Canis lupus familiaris: one gene and its partners. The main gene of each other region encodes a partner of the protein of the gene in region 3 in a complex. Links are inferred from orthologs where the notes say so. Each region holds a gene or a part of one and is shown on either strand. Other genes may lie near its edges.

Region 1 (4,840 bases), on a different chromosome or scaffold from region 3:
ATGGGAAGGGTAAGTTCATGTTGTAATTCTAACTGGAGTTACGAAATCCCATCTTAGTAGTGAAGTACTTGTTTTTTTTGCCCTTCACACTCTACTTTTCCACCAAATATTGGCCATGGGTTTTATTCAGTTTTTGTAATCTGAAGCCATTTCAGAAATTTGCTTTTGCTTTTCTGTATGGAAGGATGCTGGATATATTTAATTATCAGTCTCGGGAAGTTTCTGGCTGTGGCTAACCTGATAGTCTAACTGTACCTCTGATTGAGATTTCTTTGTCTTTTAAGTTCCATATTTGAATTCTCTTTCACCAAAAAGTATTCTCATGAACAGATAAGCAGTTTTCTGTATTTCTATTTGCTTTAGGAAATTTGTAGCAAGCATATTGTATTTGTCAAAGACAAAGATACTGTGTTGTCCCTTGAGTGTCTTGTCAGTAATTTTGCTTGCTGTTAGCCTGTAGAGTTCAGTCTTGGGATCTTAAGTAGAGAAATGCTTGGTCATTGATTATAATAAGAGGAGTGAGAGGAAGCACAAAGGAATTTAACAGTACCTCTTCCTTTCCTAGGCCCAGGGTTTAGGGGCGAGTTGGAGTGGTTTGTCACCTCTCTCTGTTTCATTTATGTAGTCAGGACAGCTGAATGAGTACACAGAGCGGAAGGAGATGTCAGCAGACGTGGTGTGCATGAGTCTGGCCAATGTGCCTCCTGGAGAACAACGGTCTCGCTTCCTGGCTGTGGGGCTGGTGGACAATACTGTCAGAATCATCTCTCTGGACCCCTCAGTGAGTGTTACCCTGGACTTCAAGGATCTTCTCACTGGAATCTGAGCTGCTGGCCCATTCCTGATGGGCATTTCTGGGATCAGCTAGGTTAGCCCCTGAAATCAGCATCTGCCACTTGTGATTATCATAGCAGCACACCTCAGGAGTCTTCTGCAGTACTTTAAAGATCCTAATCCCAGACTACTAAGTGCTTCCTTACCTTAAGCCTTGACTCCCTTTTATAGTTAAACAAAACCCAAAGACTTTGCAGAAAAGGAATCAGACTGGCTTTGGACCTTAGATAAGAATAAGTGCCCTTTGCTTATTTACATTTACCGTTATCCACTTTTATGGAAAGGAAAGCATGGTTCTTTCTAGAGCTTATTCTAACATTTGGTTTAACTAGTAGTAACCCATTTAGAACTCACTCTGTAAGATTCCCCTATCCACAAGAAAGTTGTTTCTTCACTCCTCAAATTAGATTTTTCCAAAATTGGTTATTTCCCATGTTTTATTCTTTTCTCTTTCCTCCTTAGGACTGTTTGCAGCCCCTGAGCATGCAGGCTCTCCCAGCCCAGCCTGAGTCCTTGTGTATTGTGGAAATGGGTGGAACTGAGAAGCAAGATGAACTGGGTGAGAGGGGCTCTATTGGCTTCCTATACCTGAATATTGGGTTGCAGGTAAGAGATCCAAGGCTCACATTGTTGTTTTTTTGTTGTTTTGTTTTTTATTTTTATTTAAAATTTTTTTTTTTACTTCTTCATTCATGAGAGATACACAGAGAGAGGCAGAGACATAGGCTGAGGGAGAAGCAGGCTCCTTCCTGGGAGCCCAATGGGAGACTCGATCTCAGGACGCTGGGATCACACCCTGAACTGAAGGCAGATGAGCATTGTTGATGTCAGGTCGTCTTTAGCTTTTATGCAGTCCTTGTTCAATATGGGCATTTGCTGAGCCTGTTCAGTTTACCACCTTATGAAAACTGAATGGTGCTGCTGTGTGTTCCTTTTCTCTTAGTACTAATCAGAAAGGTCAGGCCTAGGAAAAGATACTTTCATAAAGAAAGAGTCTTTGATATAAATGTGATCACTGCTTTGGGTCAGAACTAGAGGGAGTCTGAAGTGTCATCTGCAGTTTTCACAATATGCAGCTTTTGGAAACTAATACCTTTTGTTTTATAACGGACTCCTTTAGTAATAAAGGACCCCTAGATGTTTACTGTTGTCAAAGCATTGGGGCTTTTCAGAGCATGAAAAGCAGCAACCTAAGGATAGCAGAGTGTCAGTGTTTTTGACGATACACTTTTCGTTTTCCTTAATGATTATTTGTTCAGCTCCCTGGGTAAATAATCTAGCCCTGCTATGTCTTGCTATTTCTCAATTACTTCCTAATTGAGAAATTTCTCAAACATGCACAGGAGTTAGACTAATGTAACATGTACCCATCACTTGTTTTATTTTTTTATTGTATTTTTATTTTTTTAAGGATTTTATTTCTTTATTTATGAGAGACCCACAGAGAAAGCAGAGACACAGGCAGAGGGAGAAGCAGGCTCCCTGCAGGGAGCCCGATTTGGGACTCGATCCTGGGTCTCCAGAATCAGGCACCGGGCTGAAGGCGGCGCCAAACCGCCGAGCCACGCAGGCTGCCCTCCATCACTCGTTTTAATAGTTAACCAACATTCTACTGTTCTTGTTTTATCTATTCTTTGTTTTTTCTTTCTTCTGGGATATGTTAAAGCAAATCCAAGGTGATTTATCATTTCATCGATAAATCTTGAGAATGTAGCTCTACCAGATTTATGGGTTTTCTTTTTAGGCTTCAATTTTATTATCATGCCTAATACAACTTAACAGTTCTTTAATATCTGATACCTGTTTGTGTTCTGGTTTTTCTTGTTTCGTTTTTGTTTTTCCAGAAATGTTTTTGACTTTAGTTCTACCTAGGATCTGCATAAAGCTATCTGTAGTTTGCATCTGTGTGATCTATCCCTTTATGTTTCTTTTAATAAATTCTACTCCATTAAGTTTTTTTTTTTTTAAAGAAACTAGATCATTTTTTTTTTTAATTTTTATTTATTTTATGATAGTCACAGAGAGAGAGAGAGAGAGAGAGAGGCAGAGACACAGGCAGAGGAAGAAGCAGGCTCCATGCACCAGGAGCCCGACGTGGGTTTCGATCCCGGGTCTCCAGGATCACACCCTGGGCCAAAGGCAGGCGCTAAACCGCTGCACCACCCAGGGATCCCCAGAAACTAGATCATTTTCTTGAATTTCTACCTGCTGGCTTTGGCAGAGTCCTTCCTTGTGTGTTTGATGTTTATCTATCCTCTATTTCTTGTAAACTATTGGGTGAGTCTAGACCATGCTATTCATTAAAAATATAATGCAAGTCACATGTGTAATTTAAATACTCAAGTAGCCACAAAAAGGGAACAGATGAGGTTAATCTTAATGTTTTCTTTAACCCAGTATATTTTAAATGTCATTTCAATTTGTAATCACTATAAAAATTAACATAACTCATGTTCTCTCTTTTTGAACAAAGTCTTATTTTTAAAATATTTTTTATTTATTCATGAGAGAGAGAGGCAGAGACAGAGACAGGCAGAGGGAGAAGCAGGCTCCACGCAGGGAGCCCGATGTGGGACTCGATCCCGGGCCCCCAGGATCACACCCTGGGCTGAAGGTGGCGTTAAACCTCTGAGCCATCCAGGCTGCCCCAGATTTATTATTTTTGGGGGGGCCCAATAAGTGGCACTCTTTACTTTCTATTATATCAGGAGGCATGTAATGTCTGGCTATCCTACTTGTAATGGTGTTAAGATGTTTGTATGTATTTTAAATTATTTGCTCCCTGTCAACCTTTTACCTAGCAGCAGCTGTCGATGCCCATTGCCTAGATTCATTATGTCATTAGGGATTGGGAAATGACGATTTTCTGTTTCTTTCTTTCTTTTTTTTTTTTTTTTTAAAGCTTTTATTTATGAGCGCGAGAGAGAGAGAGAGAGAGAGAGAGAGAGAGAGAGAGAGGCAGAGACACAGGCAGAGGGAGACGCAGGCTCCATCCAGGGAGCCTGACGCGGGACTTGATCCCCGGTCTTCAGGATCAGGCCTTGGGCTGAAAGCAGCGCTAAACCACTGAGCCACCCGGGCTGCCCCGATTTTCTGTTTCATCTTCATTTCTTTAGCTGGAACTTGTCTCTGAAGACAAAATTTGCTTACCCCAAAGTATAGTTCGTATAGGGAAAGGATAAATACTTTGTTTTTCCCCTTGTTCATCTTATTTTCACAGTAAAGAGTTGGTGCCGTAGCAATCTCCAATGGGGGCTCAAGAAATCTATTTCTCTCTCTCTCTCTCTCTCTCTTTCTCTCTCTCTCTTTGATAACATAAAATTGCAGATTTTTATATATTTATGCTTTAAACTATTATGGTCTTTTCTCATTTTTGGATGCTAAATTGCCATCATTTTAGATGGGTGGGAGTTGGAGTTCCCTTTTGAAGTTAGCTTTTTTGTCCTTTTAACATGATGCCATTATCTTTGGGTGCTTCCCTCCTTATGGTACGGTAGAGTGCCCCTGTATATATCTGGAATATTCTTGCCCTAGAACTGAATTAGCTGTTTCTCTTAAGAGAGGGACACCTGGGTGGCTCAGTGGTTGAGGGTCTGTCTGTCTTTGGCTCAGGGCGTGATCCCGGAGTCCCGAGATCGAGTTCCACATTAGGCTTCCTACATGGAGCCTGCTTCTCCCTGTGCCTGTGTCTCTGCCTCTCTCTTTCTCTGTCTTTCATAAATAAATAAAATCTTAAAAAAAAAAAAAAAAGCCTTCTGAGAAATGGCATGTAGAGATCACAATAGGCCTCGTTATTTTAAGTATGCATGTATCCTTTTTTTTTTTAAAGACTTATTTATTTATTTTAGTGCGTACACACAAGTGAGGGGAAGGGCAGAGGGAAAGAATCTTAATGAGGCTCCCCACTGAGCACAGAGCCTGATGGTGGGGCTTAATCCCACGACCCATGAGATCATGACCTGAACCAGAACTAAGAGTTGGATGTTTAACTGCTGAACCACCCAGG
Region 2 (5,371 bases), on a different chromosome or scaffold from region 3:
CAAATGTAAATAGACTCCAAAGAAGCTGAAAAGTAAAAATCATATGTTCTCTACTCTAAACTTGTTTAAAAGAGGAAGGAGGGGATGGTTCCTGGATGGCTCAGTTGGTAGAACATGTACTCTTGAGTTCAGGGTCATGAGTTCAATCCCTACGCTGGATATAGAACCTACTTAAAACAAACAAACATAAGAGTATACATACCAGACACATATACATTTGTATTTCTGTCTTCTTCAACATGAAACCATCCTAAAAATCAAAATGAAAAAAAAAAAACACATACGAGGAGAGTTAAGAGTCATATTATGAAATCTTGACAATGTAGCAGTTTCTTGAAACTTCCAGGACTTTTTTTTTTACCCTTAGAACAAGAGAAACTAACCCAAATCACTGTCTAGATTTCAAAGTACTTGAATCTTTTGACACATAATTAGTTTCAGAGACTCGTCTGAAAAAGGATGACTAGTGGGACACCTGGGTGGCTCAGCAGTTGAGCACCTGCCTTTGGCTCAGGATGTAATCCTGGGGTCCCAGGATCGAGTCCCACACTGGGCTCCCTACATGGAGCGTGCTTCTCCCTCTGCCTATGTCTCTGAACTCCTCTCTCTGTCTCTCATGAATAAATAAATAAAATCTTTAAAAAAATGAAAAAGGATGGCTAGTTATGTTAGATATTTATGATTCTGATACTACCTTAAAAAAACTCATCCTTGCACTGACTTTGGGCCTGCATGCATAAATTGCTTCTGACTTCAATCTACTGTGTTGGATATGGCCAAGCTGAGGCAATACTGCCTTGAGTTCAATTTAATTAAACTCAAAAAATATCAGAAAATTACCTTAAAAAACAGAATTTCTGATGATCCCCTAATAACAGCTCTATTTTACAAAGGAAGAAACTGAGGTACAGAATTGAAATAGCCTCCCCAATGCCCACAAGTCAGTGTGCAAGCCAATGGATAAATCTAAATAATAATAATAAAAAAACCCTTCATCTTATGATTCCTTCAAGACTATTATAATTCTTCAAATAGTAATCATATATACACATGCTAACATTTAACATTTTTATGTTCATATTTTGCAAGCTAAATCCACTTGCCTGGTTCAGCCTTTCTCTTTTCTCCCCTCTTTTTGGGATCATTGGGTTCAGGGGTTTTTCTTTGTGGCGGTTCTTCTGCAGTCCTAGCACTGACTTCTTGCACATTTGCAGTAGAGCTAGATGCCCCCTCATTAGAAAAGCCATAATTGGCCTGATATGTAGCAATGAAATCTTCAGTGATCTAAACAAAAAATTCAGCACACACACATATAGAAATTTGAAAATGACTTCTTCCCATAAAAAGTGTACATTGTGATAAATTTCTGCATATTTGGTTATACAACTGAACACAGAAATGTTTCTACAGATAATGGCTGTAGTAAATAAAGTGTAAATGCAAGAATAGTCATGTTATACAGAAAATGTGCATAAAATGACAAAAAAAAATAAGATGGGTATTTGGATTATCAACACAAAACTCTTAAGGAAATTATTGGCACTGTAAGTGGTGTTGGCGCATTTTCTAGTTGATTCATTTATAAATCACTACCTCTCTACAGTCTACTTGAGTAAGGCTACAAGTACATACAATAAAGGAAGTACCAGATAACAATATAACAAAAACCAACAGTCAATAACCTAACAACAGAATCAATTTTTCTTTTGCTACAGAGATACACAAAAGTATACACGCATTAAATATTTGAGTGTCTGTATGTAGAGAACACACAAGATAAAACTGATTTAGTATATAGAGAATAGAACTAACGATTGTAAAACTAAATGCTTATTTTCACTCTCTCACTAATTAAATGACACAATCTTTTAGTGTCAGAACAAACTAAGAACAAATTCAACTCACATCCATCTATCCTCCTGGCTTTTAGGGGAAAAAAAGCCCAGTTGCACAATGAAAGAAATAGGAGTCTGCCTTCATTCTGGTCAATGTTACGCACATACAGGAGTGGGGAATTTTTAAAACTCAAAGTTTCAAGAGGTATGGGTTTCAATAACATAAAAAGATAAGAGTCACAAATGAATCCATTATCAGACTATTGTTAAAAGTCCTCAGGAAACCAAATCTGCTCTGGAGCTGGGATGACCAGAACCAGCAAAATAATAAATGTAACAATGTAAAGGGAATGAAGTATACAAAAACAAAAAGGAAAATAAAAAAATTGAAACAAATAATTTTAAGAATAACAGTCAAACTACACAATGGAGACATGGCTTATATTACCAGCTTGCAAGTTGATTGCTACTGGTATATTTTCCCACCCACATGAGACTTTGATTAACAGGGTACTTTTGCTGAAAAGTTTGCAGAACCAAGTTAACACCGGTTACATTACTTACAACCTGGAATAAAATACTTAACAATTTCCAAGCACTCTACACAAATATACACAGATATCTTCTATCCATATTCCGTGCCTGTGGTTGTATGGTTCGAACACACATGCCTAGGGACAAAATCTGATAGGAAAGAGAGGTGCAGATCAAGTTCAATCTATAAAGGGATATAAATGGCTATTTTTTTTTCAAAACCAAGAAGCTGCATTTTGCACAAAGTACACAAGCTAAGCAAACATCAGAATTCCTAGGGTATATGAGGTTGGCTATCCAAGAGACCCACAGCTACTAAATTTGCTCTCGGTGTTTTTCCTCTTTGCAATAAAAAGCAGTAACCAATGCAATAACCAACCATGACCTTCACAGACAAAATTAATAAGGCATAGAAGAGATTTAAGAATTAAATTACATTCGAGACATCTCGGTAAAGATCTACGTTTCTCTAACATCGGTTCGGCAACAGAAACAACAAAAAGAAACGTCACTATCCATGGGGCCCTAACTCAAGACCTCAGCAAAGAAAAACGGAAAAGGGGCGCCCCGCGAGGCTGGCCAGGCGGGCCCGCTCTGCAGTGCCGCCCGTGCCACCGTCGTACCTTGGGGAACCAAGCCTTCTTGTCCAGGTCCCACTCGTACGGGGTGTCAGCCGGCTGCTGCCCGAAAGAATCGGGTTCTCCACTGGGATCTTTCTGGGTGTCGCCGTCCTTGGCGTCGCCGTACAATTCTTGCATTCGCAACTGCTCATCAAACTCGTCGTTCCCATCCAAGTTGTTGCCGCTCATGTTGCCGACTTAGGCAAGGGACAGGGTCCGCGCGAGCAAAGAGGCCGAGATGCAGCCGGAGGCTATAGAGAAAGGGAGGTCAGTCGCACTGGGCCCGCGTCCCGCCGCCCCCCGGCACGCCTCCCCGCGGCGCCCCAGCAGCCCCCGGGAGGTCGGGGCCGACCGGCGCCCGCGCCGCCCCCTGCTCCGCCCGCTCTCCCACCGCGCGCGCGCGCGCGCGCCGCAGGCTGCAGCCCCTGCCGCGCCGCCGCCCACCTGGCTCGCTCCACCGGGCCTCGGCGCCGCGGCTCGACCCAGGGCGTGGCGGGAGCGCGCACGCGCGCCGCCGCCGCCCCCGCCGCCGACCGGGTCGGAGTCGCCTGCAGCCTCTGCAACCCCCGCGGCTCCCGCGGCTCCCGCGGCCCCCGTGGCCCTCGCGGCAACGTCAAGAGGTTGCCGGAAAACTGAGGCCCGCTCAGGCTGACGCAGTCGCCATTGTTGGCACGTCGAGACGTCGCGGGTCGCGCCGACACGCCTCCAGTGGCGTCAATAAGCGCCGACGCGGGCGGGCAGTGCTGGACCCTAGGGGCGGGGCGTCTTGCGGGGAGCGCTGCTAATCGCCCGCCGCTGCCCACCCGGGCCTCCTGGGCGGGGCGGGGCGGGGCGGGGTGGGGGCGCGGGGGCCGCTGCGCTTAGGGACCTCGGGCTCGGTGGAGGCCGCGGTGGGCGGCAGCCGGAGGCGTGGGAATGTTCCCACTCGGCGCGCGCCATCTTGGGGGAGTGGATGGGGCGGGCGGGACGGATTTGTGTTCCTGAGAAAAAGACAGGCCTCCTTCCCCCGTTCCGCTTGGGAAACGCGACTTTGGCTTATTTCTTTATGATTTCCCTAGGATGGGCGCCGGCTCTTGTTCAGCTTCTTGGCCTAAGCTCCCAGCCCAGGGTGTGGTGTCTAGTGCGTATTGAATGAGCGAGTGAGCAAATGAATGAATGAATGAATGAACGAACGAACGGGGTGGGGACCAACCTTCTTTTCCCAGCCTGAGGCCCCTCCTTTATCTCTGGTACTTTCTCAGGCTGAAGATCGACTCTGGAAAGGCGGAGGGGGACAGGGGGGAGCAGTAGTTTTCTGCCTCTTGTACGCCACGATTCAGAGGTGCTCAAGCTCCAAACCTGAAACTTAAAACATCCAAGTATAAGCACCAGCTTTACTGGCCCAGCAACTTCGGGTTTTTTGTCTTTCTTTTAGAAAAGTACAGAATATTTTCCCTCTACACAGCTTTTTATCAAATTACATATTTATCGTAGAAAATAAAAAGGTCTGTATTTTTTTTTAATCGGGCAGATATTTATTGAGCAACCAAATGCCAGGGACTGTGCTAGGCTCTGGCGAGCCAGCAGCCAACAACACAGGCACAGCTCAAGGGAGACGTACTTGTTTATGTAGATGATTCTATCAACATTTGTTGTAGTAAAAACAACAGTTTAAAAGGGTTTTTAAAAATCCCTTTAAAAATAACAATGATAAACTTCTTATGTACAAACGTAAAATTTTATAAACCAGACGTGAGGGTAAAAAGCTTACCAGAAGAAATTAGTTCTGCTATCCCAGTGATCTTTTACTTCTAAATATAGCAGTTGCGTATGGGCTCTAGAAAATCTTAACTCCCCAAATACCGACTGTGAGAATATGGTTTCAACCCTTAAAGCGATTTTTAAATAGTAGCTTGGGTTTGAGTTGGTTTTTTTTTTTTTTAAGTACATTTCTTTTTCATGAAGTTCTTGTTCTGTTCCAGACTACAGGAGAACTGAACTTGCATGCTTTTTTATATATATAATATAGATAACATGAGTTTTATTAGGCTCACTTATTTAAGCATTGCTAAGTATTTCTTCCTGGATCCCAAAATAGTGTACAGCTGTTTTCAGCAATGTGTTATTGGGCTCCCATTTCATTCCTGAGTGAGTTCACAGCATAGGTGATAATATGTTACACAGCCCTACTACTGCTCGTGACCCTCTGAATGCCTGCTGTATCCACAGGCCCCTCTGAACAGGTGGCCAAAAAAATTCCTTATGCGTAGGTCCCATGTGACCCAGCCACTGTGGCCCACAGGCTGCCCAGAGGCCTGTGAGGTGACCTGATAGGGTAGCCCTGCATCCTAGACTGAATTTGGCTATATGAGCCAATAAACTGCCTTGTCTAGAGACTGGAAT
Region 3 (5,529 bases):
CCTGGGTCTCCAGGATCACACCCCAGGCTGCAGGTGGCGCTAAACTGCTGTGCCACCGGGGTTGCCCTCTAGTAGGCATTTCAAACATCACATCATTATATCAAATCCATTGATTTTCTCTCCATCCCCTGCCAAATTTGCTGCTTCGACCCCTTTCTCTACAAGATAACCACAATCCACAGCTCTCTTGAAAGCTTGAGAGTCCTCTTTATGCTCCTCTTTCCCTCACAGTTCACAGCCAATTTATCAGTATTTGGAGAGCTGCCTCTGGAATGCAACCAGAATCTGACCACTTTTCAGTGTCTCCATGTTTGTTTGATTTTTAAAGATTTTTATTTATTTATTCATGAGAGAGAGAGAGAGAGGCAGAGACGCCAGCAGAGGGAGGAGCAGGCTCCATGCAGGGAGCCTGATGTGGGACTCGATCCTCAGACCCAGGATCACACCCTGAGCCAAAGGCAGACGCTCAGCCGCTGAGCCACCCAGGTGTCCCTAGTATCTCCATGTTTAAGTCATTAGTGGTTTCCTATTTCTCTGAGACTGAAACCCACACTTGTTACCTTTAGCCTACTGACAAGCAAGGTAGAATGGTTCTGATATGTGCTCTCCATTATGTCAGGCATCAGCCCCGTGCCTCTTTTGCCCTGGGCATGGATTGTACTGCTGCTACAGATGGGCAGGAAGGCACAGAAGAAGAACAGAAGCTCTTCAGTTTCTTTTTTTAAAATCAAATTTATTGAGATGAAATTTACATACAGTAAAATGTGCCAATTTTAAGTTTACAATTCAATGAGTTTTGACAAATGTGTACATTCATGCATCAGCTGCCACAATTACAACCTAGAACTTTTCGGGGATGCCTCAGGGCTCAGTGGTTGAGTTTCTGTCTTTAGCTTAGGTTGTGATTCCAGGGTCCTGAATGAAGTCCTGAATCAGGCTCCCTTCATGGAGCCTGCTTCTCCCTCTGCCTATGTCGCTGCCTCTCTCTCTCTATCTCTCATAAGTAAATAAGTAAATAAATATTTTAAAAAAGCAGTCTACAACTCTTCTTCCTTAAGTATAAAAAAGTAAAATCGTAGAGGCATGTAAACTATGACAGCCTCTCTCTTAACTGCATTACAGCTTTGCATCAAAGCAGCACTTAACATTTCTGTATGTTCTGCTAGGTGAGTCATTCTCAATCTTAAGTGTACTTCAGAATCACCTAAGAAGCTTAAACATCCCAGTGCATAGGAGGCACTCCAGACCGAGTATATCAGAATATTGGTATGGAACACATGCATACATGTGTGTGTGTGTATATATATATATATATATAATTTTTTAAGATGTTATTTTTAGGTAATCTCCATACCTGGCCTGAGGCTTGAACTCGTCTCTCTGAGATCAAGAGTCACATGCTCTATAGACAGCCACCCAGATGCCCCATCATGTATTTTTTTTTAAAGCTTCCAAGCTCAGGGAATGTTGAGAATCACTATAATTTTAGGAATATATTCTTAGCTCTTCTTCCTCTTCTCCACCAACTTAACTCCTACTCAATCTTCACATCTCACCTTAAAGGTCACATCCTCAGGGAACTCTTTCTAAACCTCTCCCTTATGCTGTAATCTCTCTCTCTCTCTCTCTCTTTTTGTATTACATTTGCTTGTGTTTTTATGTCTATATCCCCCACTAACTTGTACTCCCTGGATGTAGGACGGACGTAACCCACACACACAACAATACATACCAATGGGACGCCTGGGTGGCTCAGCTGTTTGGCGCCTGCCTTAGGCCCAGGGTATGTTCCTGGGGTCTTGGGATCGAGTCCCACGTTGAGCTCCCCGCATGGAGCCTGCTTCTCCTTCTGCTTGTGTCTCTGCCCGCCCCCCCCCCCCCGTTTCTCTCATAAATAAATAAATAAATAAAACGTTTAAAACAAAAACAATACATATCAATGAATGTAATATAAATGAATGAAAGTGAATGGAGATGTTGGTAGCATCACTCAGCGCAGATTAAGGGGGACAGTATTATAGGTCGGGAATGCATACGGCGCCTCGGTAGCCCTTGGAGGAAAGATCTTCCCAGGGCCTGCAAAGCCAAGGCATCTTCCTCCACCGCACCAAAGCGCACAGACAGACCTTCTAGGCACTGCAGGGAAAACCCAGCCAAGGTCGCGCGCCTCTCGGCGCGGCCGGCGCAGTGCGGCCTCCAGCCCAGAGGGGGCGCTGTGGAGAGCCAGCAGCTTCCGGCCCGCTTGTCCCGTCTCTCTGCCGCGGCGCCCGCACGTCCTGTTTTCGTTGGCCGCTCTCGGATGGCCGCTGCAGCTGTATTTGCTGCTCCCTCTTAGTGCCTGCTACTCGCCGGGCTGGCCGAGGGCGGCGGGGCCTCCTTCTTTGTTCGGTTCTTCCGTGCATCGTCCCGAGGGGAGCCGCTGTCGGCGCGGGCGGCACCATGGGCCGGGAGTCGCGGTGAGACGGCGCGCCTAGCGGCCGAGCGGCGGGCGGCGTCCCCGGGGTGGGGGAAGAGGCGGGAGTTGAGGTGGCGGCGGGACCAGGCCTGAGCCGGTGCAGCCCCACGTGCGGCCAGCGCGGCCCGCGGCCCGCGGAGCGGCAGGGGGGCCTCGGCCGAGAGAGTGGCTGTCCTTGGGCCGGTGACGGTCACTGGGTTCCCAGCACTGCCATGGCCCGTTGCAGCGCCTGGAGCGGAGCCGCCCCTCCCGGGGGTCAGTGATGGGCACCACGTCCCGCCATTTCCGCGGGGCCCACCGTAATCCCGCAGTCACTAGTGATCCCCGTTGAAGTTCTTAGCAGTTCGCGTTTGCCACGTTTTCTGGGCGCCTGTTGCTATTTTAGTTCTTTGTGCGTGTCTCGTATTTTCTCAAGTCAGTCGAAAGGAGCCGAAGACTACGTATTTTTACATCACCTACAACATTGAACATGACTAGCCTTTTAGCAGGTTACAATACATGCTTGTGGCATGGAGATTATGTCGCAGATATATATCATATTTCTTTATTAGGTGTTTTCTATCCTATTAAAATTGTGGATTGGGGGGGAGGTCTTACTAGAATTATGGTATCTCTTCAAAACTTTAGATTGTTACGTGGTTTGGGACCTTGAGGCTTTTATCTTAGAGATGAATGTTTGCTGTGTATTTAGCAGTGAGTGAAAGGTCCTTTTTATCTGAGATATAAGTAATGAGTAAAGTAATAGTAGTTTATTGAAGTACAGTGAACGTTCAGGGAAATGGACAAAGCTTAAGGATAGAGAGCTGGATGAAAATTTAACAAATCCATAATCTGTGTAACCATCACCTGGATAAAGAGAATTTCTTTGTTTACAGAGAATCCCTGTGAAGATCTTCTAAAATTTCCTTGAAGGCTATTTATCTGGCTATGCAGACCAGGAACCTGGAAGTGATTATTTATTTGATTCATTTTTCTCTCTTAACTGTCTAAACCCAGTAAGATTCTACACTCTGTTTTCATTCTTGCTCTCCCTAACCTAATTCCAGCCCTGATCATTTAGTACTCAGAATGCTACACTTGCCTCAAATTATCTTCCTGTGATCTTGCTCTTCTAAAAATTCCTCACACTGCCGCCAGAGTGATACTTCTAGAATAAAGATTATGCCATTCCTCTCTTTTCATCTGCATTGATTCTCATTGCCTCCAGGATGAAGTCAGACTCTTCAGCACAGCCTTCAGGGCCCATCTCAAGGAAGCCTCTTATAGCCCCCCCCCCCCCCCTTGTGCTCTAGGTTAATTCAAGAAGTTATGAAAGGCTCAGAGGTGGGATGGAGCAAGGTGTTTGAGAAATAAGAGCCTAGTTTGCCTACATATATAGGTGTCATGAAGAAAAGTGGTAGGAGATAGGTTCTGGAAGGGAATTGGGTCCAGAATGTGAGTGGATTGTAGATTTAGTTTTGAAGGTTAGAATTTGAGAGTCTTTGAAGGTTTTGAGTAAGAAATGTGTACCTATGTTAATATAATGTGGTCAGAACTCTGTTTTACAAAGATTACTGTAGCAGCAACGAGTAAAACATTTCAGGGAAAAGGGCTTAGAAGTAAGAAGACAGAGATCTTCTAAAATGTCCTAACTAGAAAGCTCTGATGTGGAATAGTGAGTGAGAACTCTGAGGAGGTGATAATAGTGTGCAGAGAATTTACAGAAGTGAAATTAGTGATACTTCATGTTCTATTAGTTGTGTAGAATGAGAAAAATACTGAAAGTAACTGGTATTTTGAGCCTACTGACTACAAGTTGGGATGATAAATGGCTTGGGGAGGCAAAGGTAGTAAGTTTGGGTTTTACACATTGAATTTCAGGTGCTTGAGGGATGATGTGGTGCGCTTATTCCCTAGCCATCTTATCCATGTTTATTGCTTTAAGTAACCTTTGTATACTGATGATTCCCTTCAACTCTAGACTCGTGTTGCAACTACCTACTTACATATCCATGGGAATGCCTAATATCCTGATTCCCACCCACCCCCCAACATGTGTTCCTTCAGGCTTCCCATCTTAATAAATAGCAATTTTATCTTTCTGCCCAGTCCAGCCACGTAGCTCAGAAACACCCATGAATTCTCCCTTGCTGTCACGCTTGGCATTGAATTAATCCTTAAATCAGGCAGTTCTAGTTTGAAAATCTCTAGATTTTGACACGTCCTAGAAACTCTCCACCTAACATTCTCATCCAATGCACCACTTTCTTACTTGGATGATTGTGTTAGCATTCTGCCTGTTTTCCCTGCTTCTGCCCTTGGCTTCAATTTGCTCTCCCCTCAGCAGCCAGACCAGTGCTTTAAAAATATTAGTGAGGTAACATTACTTCTGCACTTAGAATCTTCCAGTAACTTCTCAACTTACAGAGAGTGAAAGAAAAAATCCTTAGAATCGCCTCTAAGGCTCTACAGGGCCTTCCATGTTTGGCTGCCCTACTGTATCTCTCACCTCATCACATGGCACTCTCTCTTGGTTGTTGAGCCTTAGCCACATCTGCCTTCCTTGCTGTTTCTTGAGCACACCAGTCAAGCTTCCTCCTCAGGGACTTTGCATTTGCAGTACCTTTTGCCTGAAAAGTTTCTCCCCCCTGTATCTTCAAGGTTCCTTTTATTTTCTTCAAACCTCTGAAATATCTGTTGATTGGCAAGTTTTTCTCTTACCACCTGGTATAAAATAGCAAACCTGTGCCCCGTCGTCTCTCTCTTCATTTACTCTGATGTGTTTTTCTCCATAGCACCACATGATGTATTGTGTATTTATTGCTTTAGTTGTCTCTCATCTCTTCATTTACCAGAATGCAAGTTGCTTAGGGCCCCAAGGCAGGAGTTTGGTCTATTCTAAAATTTTTGCTGTCCTTGCTTCCTTTTCAGTATAGTTTTTTCCTGTCTACACAGACTGTAGATAGCTACAGGCATCATTCCTTTCCCCAGATTTTAAGAGTTGATGAATAAAAAGTCATTTCAGTGTTTGTCTGTTAAGATCTTTCGGGGAAAATCTGAGTAATTAAATATAGAAGCTACCTGTGTTTGCTAAA

Evidence for each region.
Region 1: DDX46 (region 3) and SF3B3 share a complex: the UniProt entries of both Homo sapiens proteins name them as parts of the 17S U2 SnRNP complex. The link is inferred for Canis lupus familiaris from reciprocal best matches to the Homo sapiens genes DDX46 and SF3B3.
Region 2: DDX46 (region 3) and HTATSF1 share a complex: the UniProt entries of both Homo sapiens proteins name them as parts of the 17S U2 SnRNP complex. The link is inferred for Canis lupus familiaris from reciprocal best matches to the Homo sapiens genes DDX46 and HTATSF1.

What each region holds. Positions count from the first base shown.
Region 1 is NC_049226.1:77,098,376-77,103,215, forward strand, and holds part of SF3B3 (splicing factor 3B subunit 3), read left to right. Parts: intron 1-625; coding exon 626-781; intron 782-1,296; coding exon 1,297-1,440; intron 1,441-4,840. UniProt on the Homo sapiens protein: Component of the 17S U2 SnRNP complex of the spliceosome, a large ribonucleoprotein complex that removes introns from transcribed pre-mRNAs.
Region 2 is NC_049260.1:107,799,631-107,805,001, reverse strand, and holds the start of HTATSF1 (HIV Tat-specific factor 1), read right to left. Parts: upstream 3,703-5,371; 5' UTR 3,434-3,702; intron 3,241-3,433; 5' UTR 3,179-3,240; coding exon 2,993-3,178; intron 1,285-2,992; coding exon 1,104-1,284; intron 251-1,103; coding exon 203-250; intron 1-202. UniProt on the Homo sapiens protein: Component of the 17S U2 SnRNP complex of the spliceosome, a large ribonucleoprotein complex that removes introns from transcribed pre-mRNAs.
Region 3 is NC_049232.1:22,846,259-22,851,787, forward strand, and holds the start of DDX46 (probable ATP-dependent RNA helicase DDX46), read left to right. Parts: upstream 1-2,264; 5' UTR 2,265-2,439; coding exon 2,440-2,456; intron 2,457-5,529. UniProt on the Homo sapiens protein: Component of the 17S U2 SnRNP complex of the spliceosome, a large ribonucleoprotein complex that removes introns from transcribed pre-mRNAs.